3 linked regions of the Schizosaccharomyces pombe genome follow. Each later gene encodes a partner of the first gene's protein in a complex. Each region holds a gene or a part of one and is shown in the gene's direction. Other genes may lie near its edges. The genes, in order: swd3, spf1 and shg1.

The links.
Region 2: swd3 (region 1) and spf1 share a complex: the UniProt entries of both Schizosaccharomyces pombe proteins name them as parts of the set1 complex.
Region 3: swd3 (region 1) and shg1 share a complex: the UniProt entries of both Schizosaccharomyces pombe proteins name them as parts of the set1 complex.

The regions. Positions count from the first base shown.
Region 1 is NC_003423.3:546,402-550,729, forward strand, and holds swd3 (Set1C complex WD repeat protein Swd3), read left to right. Parts: upstream 1-1,962; 5' UTR 1,963-2,268; coding exon 2,269-3,411; 3' UTR 3,412-3,828; downstream 3,829-4,328. Other genes in the region: translocon alpha subunit Sec61, read right to left, coding at 1-63, 189-221, 278-390, 444-511, 556-565; SPOM_SPBC354.04 (uncharacterized protein), read left to right, coding at 3,895-4,328. UniProt on the Schizosaccharomyces pombe protein: The Set1 complex specifically methylates 'Lys-4' of histone H3.
Region 2 is NC_003421.2:359,458-370,436, reverse strand, and holds spf1 (Set1C PHD finger subunit Spf1), read left to right. Parts: upstream 1-4,954; 5' UTR 4,955-4,958; coding exon 4,959-6,233; 3' UTR 6,234-6,677; downstream 6,678-10,979. Other genes in the region: bouquet formation protein Bqt3, read left to right, coding at 1,442-1,597, 1,647-2,258; vsl1 (SNARE protein Vam7), read left to right, coding at 3,448-3,483, 3,520-4,509; SPOM_SPCC594.04C (steroid oxidoreductase superfamily protein), read left to right, coding at 6,704-7,738; SPOM_SPCC594.03 (uncharacterized protein), read right to left, coding at 8,755-9,081; SPOM_SPCC594.02C (uncharacterized protein), read left to right, coding at 10,704-10,979. UniProt on the Schizosaccharomyces pombe protein: The Set1 complex specifically methylates 'Lys-4' of histone H3.
Region 3 is NC_003424.3:2,355,459-2,362,451, forward strand, and holds shg1 (Set1C complex subunit Shg1), read left to right. Parts: upstream 1-1,860; 5' UTR 1,861-1,902; coding exon 1,903-2,010; exon of another isoform or gene 2,011-2,117; coding exon 2,118-2,239; exon of another isoform or gene 2,240-2,304; coding exon 2,305-2,473; 3' UTR 2,474-2,930; downstream 2,931-6,993. Other genes in the region: gdt2 (GDT1-like protein), read right to left, coding at 1-696, 968-1,024; mitotic spindle checkpoint ubiquitin ligase Dma1, read right to left, coding at 3,112-3,915; mannosyltransferase Imt3, read right to left, coding at 4,985-6,055. UniProt on the Schizosaccharomyces pombe protein: The Set1 complex specifically methylates 'Lys-4' of histone H3.

The DNA.
Region 1 (4,328 bases):
ACAAGAAGCTGAACCAGCATACTGGAAGTGACAATAGGAGATATACCTAATTCCATGAGTGTTCTTATAATGGTTAGTAAATGCATAAACACATTTTTTAAAAAATGAAAAATAAGGAAGTTAAAGAGTAATCTCTTGTCAGTGATGGTTACAATACCTTCACTCATCCATATTTCTTAAAAACATACCCTCGATTGGCAGCTAAAATCATACGTAGCCAGCTGAAAAAGTCATTAGCTTTAGAAAATTAAAATTTAAACAAAAATAATAGTCTTACAGCAAAGGATCCGAAGAGTCTGAAGAGACAATTCCATATAATGGTACTTGAGACATAACCAAAAAAATCAACAAGGTGACTCCAGTCCATAACATTTTTTGCTTGAAAGGGACCTAGATTCGATATTAGCTTTCGATGTCTCTTATGAGATACATATGCTACATACCTTTCGTTCGGGTGCAGCAATCTCCGGTAAGAATGGCGCGAAAGGCTTTACAAGGTCCAGAAATCGTACTGTATAGTGTTAGAAATCAATAAGAAATAAAGCATGGTCTTACAATCACTCATATTGTATAATTTAATTAGATTTCTGCCCAACTAAACTTGCTGGTTCTTGTTGACAGTGAAGTATCATACTGAGGTTTTGGTGGTGAATTAAATTAAGGCAGCAGAACGATGGAGATAACTATTCACTTAAATGCGATAACAAGTAAATATTTCGTTTCATTATATAGTTAATAAATACGCTATAATACCAGTATAAACATTTGTTGAAGCTGTAATGAATGCCTGAATTGCCCATTTAACAAGCGTTAGAGAAGTTTTTTAAGCCGATTAAAATTCAAAATAATAACTGCTGAAATGATTTTACTTCACATAGGGATTAAAAGGAGATGCGATTTCCATTACGACCCAGGCAACAAGGTTGACTAATAAATCAAGATCATTAATTTAATATGGAATAAGAAGGGAACTAAAGGCTATGATGAAAGGCTTAATATGTGTACCGATCTAAGATGCCAACTGTTTCACCAAAAAATGAAAACACAATATTGTTTTACCAATTTGTAATTGGGAGATTGGATCAAATAAATTGATTACCAATTCATGACCTCAACAAGTAATTCTAGTTGTTCATAAGTGTTAGCCTCTTTCTTGCAATTACTATCCACGTGATTTAGATGTTTCTGTGGAACAACAGCTATCTGGATAAAAAAACTTTGGGACAAACGAGAGTGAAACATTTTTAACTTAAATTATTTGCATCACTCTGAAAGTTATGAGTTGACTCATTCGAAGTCAGTTGAGAGATGAATCACAGACACTACTTATTGAGAACTTTAAGCAATGGAAAACTTGATATCGAAGGAGCTATCAAAGTCAATATTAATTGAATGAGGACATTATGCAAAGAACGTATTTTGGTTCATTATAAGGAAACCTCTTTTTAGTATCTTTCAAACAAGCAGGAGCTTCATGAATGCAAGGCCGGAGAGAAATTGGACTAGCCTACTCACAGACTAGAAGATTACAAAACTTCAAAGGATATGTCTCAGTACGAAGATCGTACCCTTAGCGCAAGAGTATTGAACCCTCGTCAAATTAGTGAGCAATATCAGAAAAAAGTTTTTGTATTAATTCCTTGTAAACTTTACGTTTCAGTAAAAGGAGCCTAGTCGTTCTTCTTCATTCCCTAAGCTTTTTCATAACTTCAATGCGTGAATTATTGTACAATTTGTAGTAAACTTCCATTTATTAAGTCTTTGAACTAAATGGCTTAAAAATGACAATATTCCTGAATATCCTTTGCAGAGTAGTTTTCGACGTGAATTGCGAGGAAAATGAACCTGTAAACTTTATTGAAGACGAGTCAAATTATTGAGTTATTTAATATAAGTCCAAAGAAAAGCGTTTTTTAAATAGTCATTATTGTGGTATGTTGCTAGTTGAATGTTATACACTTCGTTGTCCACACCAGTTACTGCTTGTGCATACAATAAAGCTGGATGCTTAAAAAATTGACTGGCATCATTGTAATTTTATAATCTACATATGCAAAAAGCCCATGAACTTTTTTTCTTGTACATAGACTCTAGAAAGAGGAAATAAATTGATCGATTTTACTATCAGACAAAGGCGTTTGTTTATGATTGTTGAGATCATTCAATAAACCTTTTAATACTTCCTGATACGATTTTTGTCTTTAGTCCATTTTTACGAGAAGTACAAACAATCGGTCTGATAATTTTTCACATATCGTATATTAGAAGATGGATTCCACAGCTCAACAATTTCCTTTGAACCACGACCTGCAAGTACAAAAAGACCAGAAAGGTGTTGTAGAGGAAGATGAGGAGCAAATACATAAGCGCATTCGCAATTATGAATCACATTCAGGATTCTCTGAATATTGTACTCTTTTCGGTCATGAGAAAAGTGTTACATGTGTCAGCGTTTCCCCTAACAAACGATGGATCGCTACCTCTTCATCCGATGGAACTATAAAGATTTGGAGCGCACTTACGTTTCGACTTGAATGTACACTTTTCGGCCACTACCGAGGAATATCTCAAGTAAAATGGGCAACTGGTAGTAAGTATCTAGCTAGCGCTTCTGACGATAAGACCATAAGGATTTGGGATTTTGAAAAACGGTGCAGTGTGAGATGTTTAAAAGGTCATACAAATTACGTTTCATCAATTGACTTTAATCCATTGGGCACGCTTTTGGTGTCAGGATCATGGGATGAGACTGTCCGTATATGGAATCTTCAAGATGGAACTTGCCTTAGGATGCTACCTGCACATTCAGAACCTATTATATCTGTTTCTATATCAGCTGACGGAACTTTATGTGCGACTGCTAGTTATGATGGAATGGCACGAATTTGGGATGTTCTCAGTGGCCAGTGTTTAAAAACATTAGTTGAACCCATTAATGTTCCTTTGTCTAATCTCCAGTTTACAGAAAATCGAAAATATCTGCTTGTAAGTAATCTTAACTCACAGATCCGTCTTTGGGATTATCGCCGAAACCGTGTGGTACGAATATTTGATAGCCACGTGAATACAAGATATTCTATGTCTTGGGATTGCTATTCTTCTAAAAATATTCCTAAAAATACTGAAGCTTTACCCAATAATGACTCTTCCTACCCTGATGATGCAGAATCTTTCATGCACGATGCTTATCTTTTAATTCCTAGTGAAGATGGAACAATCCAAATTACAGATCCGAGTACAAAAATAATTATTGACGATTCAATTAGGCATTCCGATGATCCAGAAACATCACTTTTAAATGTAACCAGTTTAGGTCCTTTCATAATCACATCAGGAACTGATCCTTATGTACGAGTTTGGGCTCCTTCTCTTCTATTGTCGAAGCACGAGAAAGATGGCTTTTCACCTTAACCTGAATTGTTGACAAATAATGTATAAAGTTTAAAGAAACTACTTGGAATTACGATGAAGATAATGATGCTAAAGGTTTACGTGCGAAAACAAGCTCCTTACTTCCAATCCAAAGGCTAGTTGGCCTATGAAAACTTAAGTGGATCGATACATAGAAGATAAAATTAATTTATACAGTCTTCGATTATTCTTTACAGAAGATTTCTCGAAGAACGAATGTCGGCCAAGTTGATATCCTGAAATTGATGGTTTTTCTAATTTTTCTCGTTTATTAAACCAGTTATATTCATTTTGTTACTAATTTTCATCATCTAGTTTAATTCGACAGATTTTAAAGGGAGATAAATTTTTTACTTTTTTTTCCTAATATTTATTCCTTTACCACTACTGATATTCTAATAAGGTAAAACTTTTTTCGAATTAAATCATTTGGCCGAGTCAAACTTAAAATAATTGAGAAAAAAACGTATTACCTGATTTTCAATGAGTGAAAACCCAGCACATAAGGATTTGGACAGTTTGCAGGTTGACGAGAAAGCAAAAAGTTGGATTGCTGAAAAAGTTGAAGAGGAGCTCCGAAGGTTAGAGTCAGTAGGTGCTAAAGCGATCCCCTTAGATGTTAAGAATTACAGTGTTATGTTAGATGAAGACACGGATACTGTGGTAAACAGAATTGAGTTGATGACTAGCTTCGACTTTGATCATGTTCAACAAATTCTTCTATCCGCCGTACAGCCCTATCCTTATGATAAAAACTTAATGTTTGTTTATTTGGTGATATTAACGCCTCTTCCACACCCTATGTTAATTCCATATTTGTTTGCACCCAAGGTCGTAGGCAAGAATCTACTACCCCGTGCTGACGGATTGGTAGAGAATACCTTGAAAAGATGGACATTCATTAATGATAAGCTCAA
Region 2 (10,979 bases), on another chromosome or scaffold:
TTTTAAATGTTTGACATATATGCTGCTAATCCTCAAATCGCCTCAATGAATTCTTTTTAAACCAAAAAGAAATCCAGAATTTGTAAAGAATGCAGTAATTGTATTTTGATATTCTTTGAGTATCAGTGAATATAAAATCCGATATAGCAATTGTATCGACTTTGTTGATAATCATTTAGCTTTTTACTATATAGAATAACTTATCTCTTTCAGATATGGAGTATTAATGTTGGCACGGGTTTGGTGTTTGCATTAATGCTTCAGAAAAATAAGTTACGCCAACAGTACTTCCACCTTTGTATAACCATTTTACCTATAAACTTATAATTTATTTCGTTCAGATGTATTTATTTCCTTTCTTTAATAACATTATGTCAAAGGTAGAAATATAAGCAACTAGTTAATTCAAATTTTTATACTTAGACATTCATGTTTTATGTATAAATTCTTTTCAATGCAAAAGCTTGAGCTTGATTATTCTAATAAATTTCAAAAAATTATTTTAATATGTACATATATATTTATAGGTTTTTTTGTCTCAATTGTCCGAAATATTTAGCTTTTTATTTTTATGAATTTTCAATATACACTGGCGATTCTCTCATGAAAAATGAAGCTACCTATAATGGAATAAATATTTTGAAATAGCACATTTTTTATTATATATGTGTTCTCAGTGACTATAGATTATCAGATTATTAAGGGAAGAGAGATTTGAAATAACATAAATTATTTGATATATTAAATTACCGCTCAAGTCAATCACCTCATGGTTTTTATGTTATTAAATAATTATTTTGTTTGACTTTAGGAATTATAAAAAATCACCTTTTTACTTCAGTTTGATTTTAATCGTTGCATATACGTAAAGTAATGTACTTAGAAAAATTTAAGTCCATAATATATGTCGCTAATTTCCCCTTTTTTCTTTTTTAAAAAAGAATAAAATAAAAAAAAAGGTACTAGTAAATTAGCAGTATAAGGTTTTTTGGATTATTATTTACGATCATTTAAGTTAATGAACCAACTCCATGAATAAGTTAAAATTATTTTAATAAAGTGAAAATAAAGGTAATGTTTTTTTTTTTTAGGGATAATTCAAAACACATAATTATTCATGGTAATAAAGGCATCGGTCATTCTTTGTTTTTATATTTCATTTTGTACCCATTTTATGCTTAAAATCCCACGGTTCTAATGTTTGCACGGAGAACACTTTCTTGCAAACTAATCCTAGAGATTTAATAACACGGAATTTCAAGAAAAATATAATTTTGGTTTTCCATAGACTTACTACCTAAATTCAAAGGATCCTGGTTTCCTGCTGATTCATTATTTACCATTTCACAGACTCCATTGTTTGAAGATACTGTTACCTGATCAATCGTTACTTGTGTGTTCATCGATGACAAACTATATGAAAACTACCAATATTCGCAAAATGTCAGGATCGAAGTGCTGTTCGTCTTCAAACACCATAAAGGTGTCCATTTACCTATTTTTACACACGTTAACTTATGGCTTGCTAAATTATCACCTCAATCCACGATTATTAGCTTCCACGGGGGTGGTGGAAAGTGATATTCCTTACTGGATGGTATGCAGATCATTATATAAGTTTAGATTTACTAACAATGGATTGAAAGAGTTATTTATCAATTATTATGCACGTTGGTCAATCTCTTCTGTTGCAGAAATTCAACCTAGGTTATGGATGGCTTTTACTTACGAAATATCCAGTATACGTGCTTCTCTCGACCTACTACCTTACTCCTTTGAGTCAAATTGCTTGGGCATTCATAATTGACGCCATTTCTTTGCTAGTGGCGCGCTGTTTCTCTAGAGCTAACCCCATCAAATGTTCAAACCAAGTCAACACACAGTATAGTGTCTCTTTCCTATTCACAATTATGGCGAGTGTATTGATCAGCGTGCTTAATTATATATCACAAAAGATATTCTTAAACGGTCTTATTCTTGGAAACTCCCATAACGTTGTTACTAGTCTCGTTGCCCCTCCGCTCCCGTTACAATATCTTGCCCATGTACCAATTGGTTACGTTATTCAAAGAGTCGTGTTTAGTGAAAGGCCTATTCCCCAATCATTATTTTTGATGATTTTCCTTACTCTGTGGAATTGCTTTATTCCTTATTCAATTTTGTTTTCAATGAATTGGTCCGCCATGTTCCAAGTGGTGGGTGCTTACTTGTCACAAATTTGGATTATCACTTTTATCTGCTGGGCATTGTCTCTGTAAAGTTCGAGTTCTGTTTCTTTTACATCATTTTTTTTCTTGTAATGTAGTTAGTTGGTTGTTTACTTCCTGGTGGAAGTTCTCATGGGCTTATCTTAATTCATTGTATCTGTTATGGGATTTTCCAAATTTGTCTATATGTCTTTACTCGTGTTCAATAATTTCAGTGAGGTAACGTCAAACTTTTTTCATCAGGTTAATGCCCTTTTTCTTCTCTTTTTCATTTTTCGTTTTCACGGTGGAATTTATTTCTGATGAAGGAGGCAGATTTCTTCTTTCTGAGTTGAACATCATGTGTGGAACTGACTATGAATATATGTAATTTAATGACTGTGGTTTCAAATTGATTCCGAACTCTTTTAAAAGATATCCATTGTGGGATGTTTCGTCCTTTATTCTCATCTATTAGGGTCGCATAGTTTGAATTGGATGATCGTTCAAAAGCAGTATATGGTTATACTTTAAGCAAATGTGAGAAGTCTTTTCGCTGTATATTTTTCCCTCTCGTGATATGAAAAAACAGTTGTTAAGTTCCACTAGTACTATTATATATCATCTGTGGGGCCTTTATATTTACATGACATGTATTTTAAGTGAAAAATCTTTATGCATATCAGAGTACTGTTGTTATTTGGAATCTACCTATACTTACACTTTTGCATAATGTTACGATCTGGCGTTTATTCTGTGCTTTTAATACTTTAGGCAAGTCGCGCTTGCAACCAATCCATGTAGGAAAATATAGAAAATAAACAATTTCTGTTTATTACTAAGCTTCGTTAAGATTTTGCCGTTCTTCTGTTTAGGTATTGTAATTACTTGTAAGTTGCACCGTTCACGAGTGCCAAAAAAAATACTCAATAATCTGACTATAAAGTGTTTAAAGGTATAAGATAATATACTAACCTAATTCATTATTTTAATTTCTAAATCTATTGCAAACTGGTAAACTTTCTTTCAATACCTGCCAATTCGATAATCGTAAAGGCATCTCGCGCATCAAGGAAAACATGAGGTTTAAAGGATCTAAAGCATCATGAAACTGAAATTTATCTTTATTCAACTAATAGAACCTATACTATTTGAAAGCTCAAATTCTACATTATACAGTTTTATAACGATAGTGCAGTAAATCCGATACAGTAGTCTGTTGTTCATGAACTCATTGTTGATCAACCTGTTCATAGCAAGTATGGCGCTAAAAATTAAAATACCAGAAACGTCTCAAGTAAGCTTTATTCCTTTAATTTTTACTTACAACTAGTCTTCTGATGAATATTCACGATGGACGGTTTACCATATTGAAGTAGCATTTCCGAATGGTGGGAAACATGTTGTATTTCGTCGGTTCAATGAATTCGTTGCTTTGGATGCTCAAATTCGGCCAAATGACTACAACAGTAGACTTTGCAAACTCCCCTCTAAATCTTGGGTTTCTTCAACTGTGACAAATGAAAAGTTACGTGAATCTCGACGACTTGCTTTACAAGCTTACGTTCAATGCCTTTCAGAAACGCCATGGATAAAAATGCCTGTGGTTAAAAAATTTCTAAATATTAAAGATGAATCGGAAGATGAAACACAGGGTCAGTTTTTGGGTCCGACAGATTGGATTCAAGTATTTCAAGATTGTAAACGTAATTTACATATGTACCGAGTTGACTTAATGAGTGGAAAAAGCATTACGATAGGAGTTCAAACAAAGAATGTCTATGCAATAAAGTCGCTAATGGATAACCTTTCAGAATCGTTAGACAAATTAGAATTAGCAAATGCTCTTGGTCCAGGAGAAATCCTTCGACGAAAAGATATGTTAGAACAGCTTGGTTCTGAATTCTTGTCATTTAAACGGTTAGTTAAAAATGCAAACAGCCCAGTCGCTCCTCCTTCTGCCTCATCTCAATTAAACTCTTCTAATCCTAGTTCTCCCTTTCGCCCATTATCTGCATCTACTGACAAACAATCTAATACCTCTTTGAACAGAGTCCTTGGAAAAAACAGAATGCCAGAGACACAGACAACAAAAAAGCTTGATAATGTAGGACTGTACAACATGCAGAATCAAACTATGGAAGATCAAGATATGCAAGCAGAATCGTTATTGCCTATTATTCAAAGGCAGAAGGAGCTTTCGAAAATGATTAATCAAGAAGTTGTCGAGCAAAACTCCATGTTAGACGAGCTTTCTAATGAAGCATATGCAAACCAAAAAAAGCTACACAGAACACGAGCTGGCCTTCGCAAATTGGGTTAATATTTGGGTGTTTATGAGTATTTGATTTAATTTCACGAAATTTAATGGAATCTTCTTTTGCAGTTTTGTCTTGTTTTCTATCCAATTCTGCTACATTAGTGATTGTCTTGGATGAGATTATCTGGGCTAAAAATATTTATTATTTGGTGTATTTGCGTTCTTTCCTTTTTTTTTTTTTTTGTTTAATCTTCTTGAAGATACCGCAGTAACCTCTGTGAGTTATATAGGCATGGTTAGTTCGTCCGTCAAGGTTGAAATAATTGTCTCCTTTAATTAAGCTTGATATTAATATACGACTTGTTTAAATTTCAACTTGTTTTGACAGACCCCATTTCTTTTGTATTTTGGTTTGGCTTGTAGTTCCTTTTAATGCATTTAGTGTACTGTGCTTAAGCTCGCTTTCTTTAGATTTTACTTATTGACAGACTTAGACAACTGAAATTCCAATAATGGAATTAACGCAAGAGAATACTGAGGAAAATGAAAAAACTCATGTAGAATCAATTGTAAAATTTGAGGATTCGAATAGAGGCACCATTACTGATTTTCATATCGAGACAGCTAACAATGAGGAAGAGAAAGACGCCAACGTAATTCTCAATAAATCTGTTAAAATGGAGGTTGAAGAAGTCAACGGTCACGTTGATTCTTCCTCAACGGAAACAGACATAGAAATGCAAGTCATTCAACAGCCTACAATACCCAAAAAACCACCCGTATCAGCTCATAGAAGGGGTCCACGAAAACACCGAGGAAATGCGAATAGCCAACTCAATCTGTCTACAGCCGATCATCAAAGACCATTGTATTGTATATGCCAAAAGCCTGATGATGGATCATGGATGTTAGGATGTGATGGTTGCGAAGATTGGTTTCATGGCACTTGCGTTAATATACCTGAATCTTATAATGATTTAACTGTACAGTACTTTTGTCCTAAATGCACAGAAGAAGGAAAGGGTATAACTACTTGGAAAAGAAAATGCCGGTTACGAGAATGCTCGAATCCCACAAGACCTAATTCCAACTATTGTAGTGATAAACATGGAGTCGATTTTTTTCGAGAAAAAGTAAAGCTGAGTACGGTTGAACCTTCTGCTATAAAAAATCTTGTATTGTTTGCAAAAAAAAGGGAAGAATTTCAAAATTTGGGTACGGTGGGACCGACATTGCCAAGCCAAGTTCCTCCTGAAGTTGTGTACAATTTTGAAATTGAGGAGGCCAATAGGCTGAACGCAGAAATTGTGCAATTAAATAAAGAGAAAGAAGTAGCATCTAACAAAAAAATATTTCTTCAGTTGATCAAAGATTCTTCGCGGAGAGCGGTTCTTGCTTACAAAGAAAGAGAAGGTATTAAGAAAGATCTGTGTGGATTCGATTCTCGACTTTTATTCAATCAACAACAAATGAATGAATTGTGGGAAAAAGTTTCAAATGGAGCACCGCTATCTCTTGACATGAGTATAGATCCTTCTCCTGAGTCCACCTGCTTTACAGAGAAGCGAAGATGTGCAAAGCACACAAGCTGGCAGGTAATTTTTACCGAAGATTTTGAGTTGCAAGAAAGTAATATTTTACAAAAACTAAACATGAAGCAAACTGCCAAAGATGTAATGTTGGAGCATCAAAAACAGAGGTGCCTACCCGGGATACAATACGACGGTTATGCTCGATTTTGTCATGAACAGTTATCTCCCGAAAAAATGGCTAATTTATTAAAATAAACAGAAGGATGCATCTTTTGGTTTAATTTACAATTTTGAAGTTTGCTTTAATTTCTAGATCATTTCATGTAAATCACGAGGCATTGATTCGCAAATGTTAATGAAAGAAAAGTTTATATTGCTTGGCATTTGTCTCTTAATTTTGGCTTTAAATTTATTGACTCCCTGTTTCGCAAAATAATGTTGACAGATGGTAATTTGGTTTTTCCTTCTAAAAAGTCACTTTTTAACATAAGGACATACATTCTACACCCTCTCTTTTTATCAACTCATGTCTTAATGGCCTTGAGGTTTTCTCTCTCTTTTGTTTTGAAATTTATTTTATTTTATTTTTTGGAAAACGCAGGCTCCTTGGATTTCACTAATCCTTCTTATTCCAGAAGCTAACGTCACAATGAGACAGAGGATTTCGTGGAGCTATAGAAAGCCAACTTTCTGACATTCCCATTGTTCTTTTTCAAACGAGCACTATGACTTTGGCATCCACCATGCCAATTATTTATTCGGCATCTGATGCCGCAAAATGGAAAGTTGCAGTATCTCCTTACCTGTATCAACTGAGCAATTTGAAGTTACTGTTTACTGGAAAGTTGAATTTTGCAGATTTTTATTATAATACGAATCCATTTGTTGTAGGACTACTTCTCTCATTTATTTTGGGAAATGTGCTTTGGGGAGTGTCTGTTTGGACGAAAAATACATCGCAAGTGGATCGGCTATGGCCAATTCTGCCAACGGCTTTTTCCTTGCATTTTCTGTTTTATGGTTTGGGATACAACATTGCTTCGCGAAGATTAATGATTATGGCATTTTTGCAGACTCTATGGTCCGCGCGTCTTACTTACAATTATTACCGTAAAGGAGGTTATAATCGAGGAGCAGAGGACTATCGTTGGGTGAGAGTTCGCCAAATCATGCCTAAATGGATATATCCATTATTCCACTATTTTTACATTCATATCTTTCAAGTGCTCCACCTATATTTGCTTGCATCTCCCACGTATATTGCCATGTTGGCTGGAAACGAACGAGCATTTGGAGCATGGGATTGGATAGCACTCGAGCTTTTCATGTTTATGTTTGTGCTAGAAATGCTAGCCGACCAACAGCAATGGGATTACTATGAAGCGCGAAATCATTACAATGTCGACAAAACCGTGCCACCTCGGTTTAAGTATGACTTGTTGTCGCTTGGACGTGGTTTCAATGCTACAGGGCTCTTCCGATGGAGTCGCCATCCCAACTTTTTAGCAGAACAACTTATTTGGCTTTCATTTTATCTATTTGGAGCGATCGCTTCAGAATCACTATTGAATTGGACGATTTTTGCATGGCTTGGACTAGTGGGCGTTTTTCAAGGCTCGACCAGACTTACCGAAAAGATGTCCTGTGAAAAATATCCGTTATATCGAGTGTATCAAGATAAAGTCGGCCGCTTTTTTCCTCGATTAGATGGTAGTCATTGGGATATTGTGGATGACGATGCATCATTAAAGGAGGATTAATGGAGAAACAAAATGTTCCTCTATTAGTGATCCATGGATCTCGTTTCATTTTCATTTGTCAATTGGTGTAACAAAACCTTTTGACGTTTTACCCCCTCTCTAAAATTTGGTTCACTGTAATTTATTTATGTATTATTATCTTGTGTATCTATCTTAGTCTATTTATCCAATGTTTTGTCGATGAGTTATGCAAGCTTTATTTATGCAACTGATCCGTGAATTTTTTTCCATGCTGATTTGTGAATTCTTCATCCATGTTATAATATGTGGTGGCTTTGTTTATAGTATTGCTAATGTCTATTAGGACACAGAACAGAAAAAAAAATTTGTTTTTATTTTTTGAAACAATCCATTTTATGAAATCTCAAACTCAACTGAACTTCGTCTCTTTGTCTTCAAACTATGTGCGGCCTTCAAACCATCTATCAAAAGTGTTTGCTTCCTTAAACTGAATGTTAAATTTTTTTAAAATCTTATCTTTTCACTGTGGAGAAAAAGAGGGAGGGAAAAGGGAGGCGAAACCAACCCAATTCTTTTCCGTAAACTCATTCATTCACTGGAACGTACATCCGTAAATTCATTCAAGTGTTTATTATTATTTTCTTTTTTTCATTTGTCTTTGTTTTTCTGACATTTTTCTCTACCATTTTCTTCTGTGCATCCGCCAGTTGCTTGGTTCCTAAGCACCACCTATCATGTGAATATTTTCTCACACACACAGTACAATTCCTTCTCTGTTATCTTGGCTGCTTTATCTGTGTAACATGGTTTACCATTCACACGGAGGGTTAGTTTTATACGTTTACTCATGTGAGTAAGAATTTTTCCATTGGTCCATTACACATTTGCAGCCTGGCTTAGAAGATGCCTTGTTGATTTGAGAACATTGCTTTGTCTCATGCAATTTAAAAACATTAAACGTTGTTTCTTCTATTAAACTTTTTTTTTCCTTGGTTTATCCTCCATCTGTCACCCTTCTATGGTACGATCGTGGGTGCATGCTCTGCATGAGCATTCTAGCCTCTCGCCTCACCTTGAAATCTCTTTAAACACTTCACTTTAACTGTATATCCCGAGTTGATCTCAAATCTACTATTGGTAATTTCATATGCCAATGCAATTCCCAACCCGTTAGCTGACCAACACCCGAACAAACCCGCTCCGTCTAGCGTCCCAGGCTCAAAATTTTTTGGCTCAAGGACCTCTAGGTTTACGAGTGCCGCATCAGTAATTGAAATGCACAAAATTCGCTTTCCAAATTGGCATACCTCCTTTGCCCATTCTCTCCATTTTTTCTTCATCTCGTCTTTCTCTCTCTTGAGCAGGTGACACGTTACCCACATGGAGGATGCCCCGGCTCGGTTACGTGGACTCGTTCAAGACCCCTGACGCTTCCGAGCGATGGTTGTCTGGGGCACGAGGTCAGGAAATAACGCACTCCGGGAGATGAGAGCGGTACATTACGGTAGGGTATTATATACTACGAACAAAATCGTTATTTATGACATCACAGGACAGTCATTGCCGAGTTTGAGTATGGGATCATGAAGAAAACATAACGTAGCATGTGCTTACGCTTCATCCGTCCCCCAAACACACAACAAGGGACTTGTCGTTTTAAATTTCGAAAATTTGTCGTTTAGACGTGGAAACTGAAAGCTTTCAGGTGATTTGGGTGGTTCTTTAATTCTGTTGAAGTTTGCTTCCTCTGAAGTTTTTTTTCGGAGCGTTTTGCGACTTGTTTACGGATTATACCTGAGTGTAAAAGAAGCGGACTGAGGCTTCATATAGTTTGCTTTGGCGTACCAAGTTCTTCCATAAGGTTTATTTCCTATCGTTTACACTGTTGAAGTTGTTTTCTCTTCTTCATCTGTTTGTAGAATCCGTTCCGGCTTCATTTGCAATTTTTTTATCCTTGGATTTTTATTGGAGAACGGTGGTTTGGGAACGTCTGTGTACAAAAACCTACTCTACCCCTTCACACTTACTATTTTTTAATTAATTTATTATCTGTTTGTTTTCGTTTTCTGTTAATTTCCCTTGTTCTTGTTTGAACGTTTGATTTTGTGAGCAATATAATACTTGTTCGAAAAAAAGTCTTTCTATTGATTGATTTTACGAACTAATTCTTTTTTCTTTCGCCTTTCTCGTTTATATGCCTGCACATCTGTCTTCTCAATATTGTTAAATCTTTTTTACACTTTATAATAATATTTGTCGACGTATTTACGTGATTTGCTTTGCCCTACTCTGCTTTGCTCCCCTATAATTTCGTTCTATTGTGTGCCGTGTGATCGTTATTCCGCTTTTTTTTTCGGGTTGCTATAACCAATTTCTTCTACCTTCAAGCCCTGTTATTACTGTGTGCGATTTGTTGCAATCTTTTTATCATCTAACTCTGCAGCTGTCTTAATCATCTCGTACTCGGCTTCTTTCGTTTTCTCCGTATAGTTTGATCGAGAAGAAATTTTTTTCAAACAGAGGAAAACCCGGTCGTTTTGTCTTGCTTTTTCTATTGGAAAAATAAGCCCACATCAGTTTCTTAGTAATCTGTTCGATTTAATCCATTTTAAAACGACATTTTCTGTTTCGCTTTCTTAATATTGGAAGAACGTACATACGTGTATGAAAACTTGAAAAATTTTCATTTCTCACTGTATATCATTCTTTTTTTTACCAAAGGCAAAAATATCCTCAAAATTTTTTTGCTATTACTGAAAATTTACTTTTTATTTAATTTCATCTGCATCTATCTCAAACAAAACCGGACCATCTGTGTCTGTTAATTGAAGATATTCCGCAAAATTAACTTCTATTTACGTGATTTTTTATCTTCCCAAGTTGTGTTCATTCGATCTTCAACTTATTCTTGTCGTTTAAAACATATCTGTTCTTTACGATCTCGTTGCCTGCTGTTTACTTAATATTCACCGGAAGTAAGTAATTCGTCACTAATTTCCTCCGAATGGCGCCTGCCGTCTTTACTTCCGACTACTGGAAGAAATACTTTTCCAACAAAAAGAAGCCTACTGTTAAGAATACTTCGGACATTGATTTGCTTCACATTAATCGTGGTCGTCAGCCTTTTGATGAGGGATTATCCATCAATGAAGATTCTTTCTTTTACAGACATAACATTCATGTTCCTCGTATAGTTTATTTAATCATTGTTGCATGTGGTTCCTTTATTATCACGGGAGGTATTGAGTTTGCCATTGCATATGGTATGTATAAGAAGACC
Region 3 (6,993 bases), on another chromosome or scaffold:
AACTGCCAAAGCTGTACAGCAAGCATGACCAACATTAGCCCCCATGAATACACCGTAAACATTATCACTAGCAGCCATTGCAATAGTAGCGATTTGGGAGCGATCTCCCCATTCACTAACAAAGGTAAGTGCAAACGCCTTTATAAATAAAGGAGAAAACAGGGTAGCCATAACGTTCCGTCCCTTTGATTTTAATTGCGACATTAAAGTATGTCCAGAGCGAGACCTGTGACCAGTGTAGTGGGAAGGTGCTGCCCCTTCCTCCAACAATTGGTCGATGGGGCCATTAGCAGCTATTTCGTTGCGGACGTTCTGAAATTCGTCAGACATGGATTCTTTAGAATCCATAACTTCCTTCGCTTCCATAAGCATTTTAATTCCAAAAATCACAAAAAGGACACCTCCCAGAATGTCCGTTAACTTTCTAGGAAAAAGTAATGGAGCGGCGTGCCCAAGAAGTACTCCTAATAATGTCATGATGAATAGAGCTGAGTATGACCCAGCAAAAACAGTTAATCGAGAGTTTTCAAAGGCCAAAAGAGCAGCTACGATGAAAGTCTTGTCTCCTATTTCACAACCAAAAATCATAGATATAGAGAAGATCAAACTCCTAAGAAAGTCACGGTTTGTTGGGTGCACTTCCTCTGGATGTTTGATAGCTGACACGTCTGCCATACCTTCGCCAACGATTTTTTTCTAAAGTAGTGTTAGATTCAATGCAAAAAAACTTTGATTTCAATTATCTATCAAAACATTACTTCTTCCAAAAGGAAAAGTGAATATCATTGATTTAAGAATGTAGAAAAACGATTATAGCAAAATCGTAAATTACTGAGACAAAGTAAATTCTGCATCACCTGCATATTTGCACGGAATTTATTTCGTCTTTGTACAACAATAAACTAATCACGATTGTATTGCACAAGAACCAATGAGACGTGTTCTAAAGGACAAGGAAAAAACTTACAGCCACGACGGTTGACAGCAAAACCGCTATAATCGCCCATTTTATTGGATTTTTCATGACAATATTAAAAGACTGGGATGCAAATAGTAATTGCAATGTTTGTTGAGCGTAGATGCAAAGTTTGGTGTAGCTGAAATTTTAAAGGTAGTTAACAAATTCTTCGACGTATTGTGCGCACACCAAAAAAAAGCAGTTATAATTAAATGAATTCAGAAAAACAACCACATTTTGAAAATAGGCCTGTGTCTTTGGTTAGTATCGGTAAAACATTTTCATTTATTTTCTGGCCTTCACGTGGCATATGCCAAAAACCTCTAATTTGTTTTAAAACAGGTTTTTAACTCTTATCTTTCGAAAAGTTGTTATAGTTACCACTTGACTGTATATTAATTGATCATTAGTGGGTATAATACAAGCATTAGGACTTGCAAATGCTCATAATTTTATGCCTTTTTTTTACTTTCATGTATTACTTGTTGTAGCAATAGGAACCAATGCCAATCCTTTTAATTGTAAGTGTAATACGCGAAACCAAACAGAAGTTTGATAATTTTTTAGATGGGAAACTCACATTGCACTACCTACATAACGCAAGTTCAACCATAAACACATAAGAAAATTCACTAGCCAAACGGTCAAAGTAAAGCCTTAACAACAGAACATCGCATTTAAGTTAAACCTCGTTAGTACGTGTTTCTTACAGGGTGATTGTACGAAGTCCCTTCTGCGAGATATTACTTCAAGAACTTTTACATTGAGCAATCAAGACACGATCAATTAATTCAAGTTAAATGTGTCTTGTAAAATAACTCGAGTTTTATTAATAAGGTAGTATAAATATGGCCGAATAATCTGTAATCAAATCTTTACATTTCGTGAAAATTCTTTTCTTTACCACATTATTTTACCGTGTAGTCAATTCATAAACAAAAGGCATGGATAGGGATGTAACACTTAATGTTGATGAACTTGTATCTAAATTTAAAAAAGAAGGACATTTTGATCGCCTTCGAAAACAAATTCTAGAAACAGTAAATGAAAAGGTAGGGTCATCGATAGTTTCCTCAAAAATTAAACTATCACTATTTTTTTTAACTATCATAATGATACCAATGTCACTCACTCTTTTGCCATACTAACATCGCCTCAGGAATCAGGGCCTTTATTAGATCGGCTGAAAAAAATCATTGATGAAGAAATGGTGAAAGATCGCACACTCAAAAGTAAAGACCAGTTTAGGGCTGCTCCTTTAATTGCAGGTGCCGTAGATAGGTAAGCTTACGACTTAATAATGGTTTTTTTTCTTTTCTTTTTGGAAACTCAGTCTAACCCATAAGATCTTCATTGTATGAAGATAGCATGGAACACATCCGAAGCAATGTTTTATCTGATCAAGATTTGAGGGAAGTTATTTATAATTCTCTTGAACAAATAGGGATTGAACAAATAGAGCATGAGGATGAAGAAAAATTGCTGAATAGTAAAACCATGGATGGGCGCAAATGAAGATAATTAGCTACTTAAAAGTTTGAAAAAGTTTTGTTATTGATTACTTCTAAATTGCATATACTGAACATACTTATTACAATTAAGAATTGTACTCTCGGGAATTTTACCAGCAATCACATTAGGTTGCATAAGAAGTGAATTAAAAGTTATAACATTTAATGATGCTGAAGGAGATAATAAATGGACTCTCAGAAGAACAACCACAATTCTTTCAGATTCGGATCTCTATTACTGCTGATTATTAGTACATTCATTTGTGATGCCAATGTTTCAAAAAAAATAAAAAAATGTGAGAGTATGTAGAGATCAGGTGTGAAGGACGACAGAAGTTAAGATTATATATCCATTTAGGATAATTATATTAATGCAGTAATGAATAAAAGAGACCAAGTAGCACTTGGTTTTCTCATCAATAAAATATTTAATCATTATGAGTGTTGATAAATAAAGTTAGGGAGGCATGCTTGTTTAATTCAATCATCAGGCAACAGCAAATGTCAAAGAGCCTGTGTTCCCATAATCTTCTGCCATGCTCATAAAGACTAAATATAATATGATCATTATGTTACGATGGTCATTAAAGGAAGAACTTGAGGACGTAAAAGACAATTAGTAACCATACTGAAAATAACAGTTTACTCAGATGCATCGTCTTTTACCGTTGCATTTCGTAGAAGGTCATTTAGACTTTCGTCACCTTCTTCAACAGGAGCCTCCAAATCATGATATTTTCTACATATAAAGCAACTGAAGTATGGGTGACTTTCGTTTAGGGTTGGGCGTATGCATTTATAGTGATAAGAGTGAGAACAAGGTGCAACGAACAATGCTTGACAAGGTAAAACAGGCATAAGACATATACAACATTCCGGAGGACCCGATTCAGAAGATCCGCATAACACCAGTTCTTGCATTCTTTTGAATTCGTTAAGGTTGTAAGGACTAAGCTTAATTTTCCAAGAGTTGTTTAGCTCAACTCGGGCACGAACACAACGATAGTTGACTTCATGACCTCCTCTATAATCCGCCCCAAGTTGTAATATGTCGTTGTTCGAGATGGGATAAGGCTTACTCGTTTTTGACGGCGGTGATAAACGAACATGGTTCAAAAATGTACCAGAACTAGAACCCATATCTTGAATGTACCAAGTATTGTTTTCATAAAATATTTGTGCATGCCTTCTACTCACAACTTTGGAACGGAAGACAATAGCAGAAACATCACCGCCGTTGTATCGCTCTGTGTATCTTCCTATGTAAATGGGTAGATTATTTTGCTTGCGGTTCCAGTAGCGAACTAACGGATCAAAAGAGAAAGAATGTGCATTGGGACCGACAAAGTTAGTTAAACGAATTGATATTTTATCGTCGTCCTTTTCAGAATCAGTCTCAGCGGCAAGTTCCTGTTCTTTGAGGTATCCCTCAACAGATTTTGTCATTTTTTGGAAAGAAAAGCTTTATTAAAACAATTGAATGGAGGATAGAAAGTTACAAAAAACAAATAAATTAATGTTAAAAGCTTTTGAAAATTGTCTTCCGTATACCAATTTGATGTTATCCAAGAAAAAGTTCAAAGAAATATGCCTTCCTTCTAGTAAATTGAAGATAAGGTAAGTTTCAAATCTATTGCTAACAAAATACGAAAGTATATGGGGTTGTTGTGTTTATGTATTAAAGTTTGGAAGCAACAAGAGACAAAAACGAAAACAAAGGCCTCAAAAACAAACAAACTGTTGAAAGCTAAGGAAGGACAGCAAACAGAACTCTTAACTGAATTGCACACTTTAATTCCGAAAAGAAACACTTTTAATAATCAACCAGAATTTAGCTGTAAATGAAAAGCAATCGAAAAAATGATAGTTTTCGCTGTTATCAGAAAAATATGTTATAAATTATGAAGCCAATTTAGTAGAACAAGTAAATTGCACACAGTAAACGGTCAAATGGTGCTGCAAACGAATACAGTTAATGCTATGCCGCCTCGAAAGGCGCATGACTAATTCGGTATCCAACTTACGGTACAACACAATGTTTTCTTCGGTATAGTAATTGTGCATTAAATAAAACAAAACAAATAATAAAAACAAATAAAAAACTAGATGCGTCGCATAAACAATGACGATGATGGTATTTTGTCTATCTTTGTCTCACCATACAGATGGACTTAAGCAACACCGTTTTTATGTTGAATAATTTATTGTTTTAGTATAATTTAGAATTTAGCTGAAAATCCATCAAACAAAAAGTAAGTTGAAATGAGTAGTTCCGAAAATATCTTTAGCATTTCTATTTTTATAGATTTGGACTTGAGTCATTTCATGGTATATATCCCTTTCCGATCACGGTAGACAATTGTGAAATTACTTGCTTTTAATAGACTATATTAGAAAACTAGAACGAAACTAAATGAAATACAAGGATTTATGATAATTCTATGAAAATGAAAAGATAGACAGGTCAAAACTTCAAAGCAAATGAAGCCTTTGTAGTAGCAAATGCCGAGTAATTTTAGGGACTGTGACTTTGAGTTTGCGATTCCAAATCATAATCAGACATGAAAGGTAAAGAATCAGAACGAGTTTGGTCATACTTTTCATTGGAAGAAGTGAAACGATGGAAAATCTTCCAACGGGACGGAGATGTCTTAGAAAACGGAGATGAAAATACCCGTCGACCAGTGCGGGAGACACGAGCGGCAGGCTTCAAAGCATAGCCAAATATAAAATATACAACAATGAAAAACGTCAAAAAACCAAGAAATGTAAAAATGGCCCAGTGATGCAACATATAGAATACAAATCCAGCGTCACTATCGTGCCATGATGAACCTTCATAAATTTCAAAAAATGCATGGTGGCTCTTTTCATACAATTCGGGAACCATCACCCAAATATGATGCCAAGCTTCGGCATCTGGAAGCTTCCGCCAAGCACTCCATATTATCGACAAGAACAATGGACCAGTCGAATACATTACGGTTAGGTAAGGGAAGTGGTAATTAAACGCGAATCTAGGTAGGTTTCTGACCACCTGTAAAAGAAATGGATGCCCTTTAGCAAATCCCATTACATTATTGCTAATCCCACTTGGGGAAGTTCTCCTCACCCATGCTGGATAATGCAATAAGGGATCAAGGGTTCGATTACAACCAACATCCAAATCCAAATATATTCCACCGTATTTGTAAAGAATAAAGTATCGAACGACATCAGCCCGTTCAATATTGTAAGGATAAGAATCATATTGAGTCAAAAACCAAGGATAATCAGTAGCAATAAACTCCCTCATGGATTCATCAGTCCACAATACATATTCATAATCAGGATGTAGATCAATGCAACTTTTCTGGGCACCAACCCATTTTTCCGGAATTTCGTTGGTTTTCCAAGTCTGATGTATAATTTTAGGAATAGCAGCAGACTGGTTTGAATAAATTTCATGATTATAAACGTCATCAACTTTAAGAAGGTCTGTCTTATAATTAATAAAGAACAGCATCATTGGACCTCCAAAAAGATAAACAGTAGCGGAAAGAATTAGTGTCAAAAAGAAAAAAAAGTAAAAAAGTATTTTGTTCATGGTGGCATCAAATATACGCTTCCAGCGAAATAAAATCAGGTCAGTTGTATATTCGTGCTTGGTAGATTCAGCACACAAAAAGAAATTTTGCAATAAAAGTATTTTAGTTGAAGTTAGATAATGCTAGATTTTAACAGATTCTAGTAAGAGGCAAGTTTTTGGTTCTCACTCTTTGCTTGCTTTTTAGGCAGTGTAATTAATTGGACTAAGAGGAAGGAAAAAATATAAGGTGAGATAAAACGTATATACTAATGAATCACTTATATTATTAAAACCCAGTGAACTCGATTCCGCCAAGTAGTACAAGATAATTTTGGTCACTAAAAGAGTTGCCCTGGGACAAAAGCAATAGTAGTATAAAATATTAAAACTGAATTGACGTCGGAGAAAGTCAGTTTTATATTATCAAAATAAAAAACTGGAGAAAAATTAGTAAACATCCAAATTTTGGTCAATTATATCCTTACAAATAAGAAAAAATAAAAAAAATAAATAAAAATTATTGAAAATGCCAGTAATAGCAGACGACAAACTTGGACTAGACAAGAATTGTCAATTGGAGGGGGGGTAAAAACTAAAACTTTTAAGAGATTGATTTGAAGCCAACACTTCTGAGAGAGTAATTAAAAAAAGAAGAAAATTCTGATTTTATAGAGATAAAAACAATGCTACAGTAATACCATCCAGCTGCTGTACAAGTTATGCAAATTGAAGAAGTATTTGGGCTTGGTTGCGGAAAGTTTAGCCTTCCCAACAAAAAAAGCCACCAAGTCACATGTACCCTATTTGCGATTGAGCGCATTGACATTTTGTAAACTGTATGGCAAATACGTAAAGAAACAATACACCCAATTTGATTTCATTTATTTCTTTACATATTTTGGACTCAAAAAAAAAGTAAATTGTGCTTTGTAAGCTGTTAATTTTAGCAAGGTACC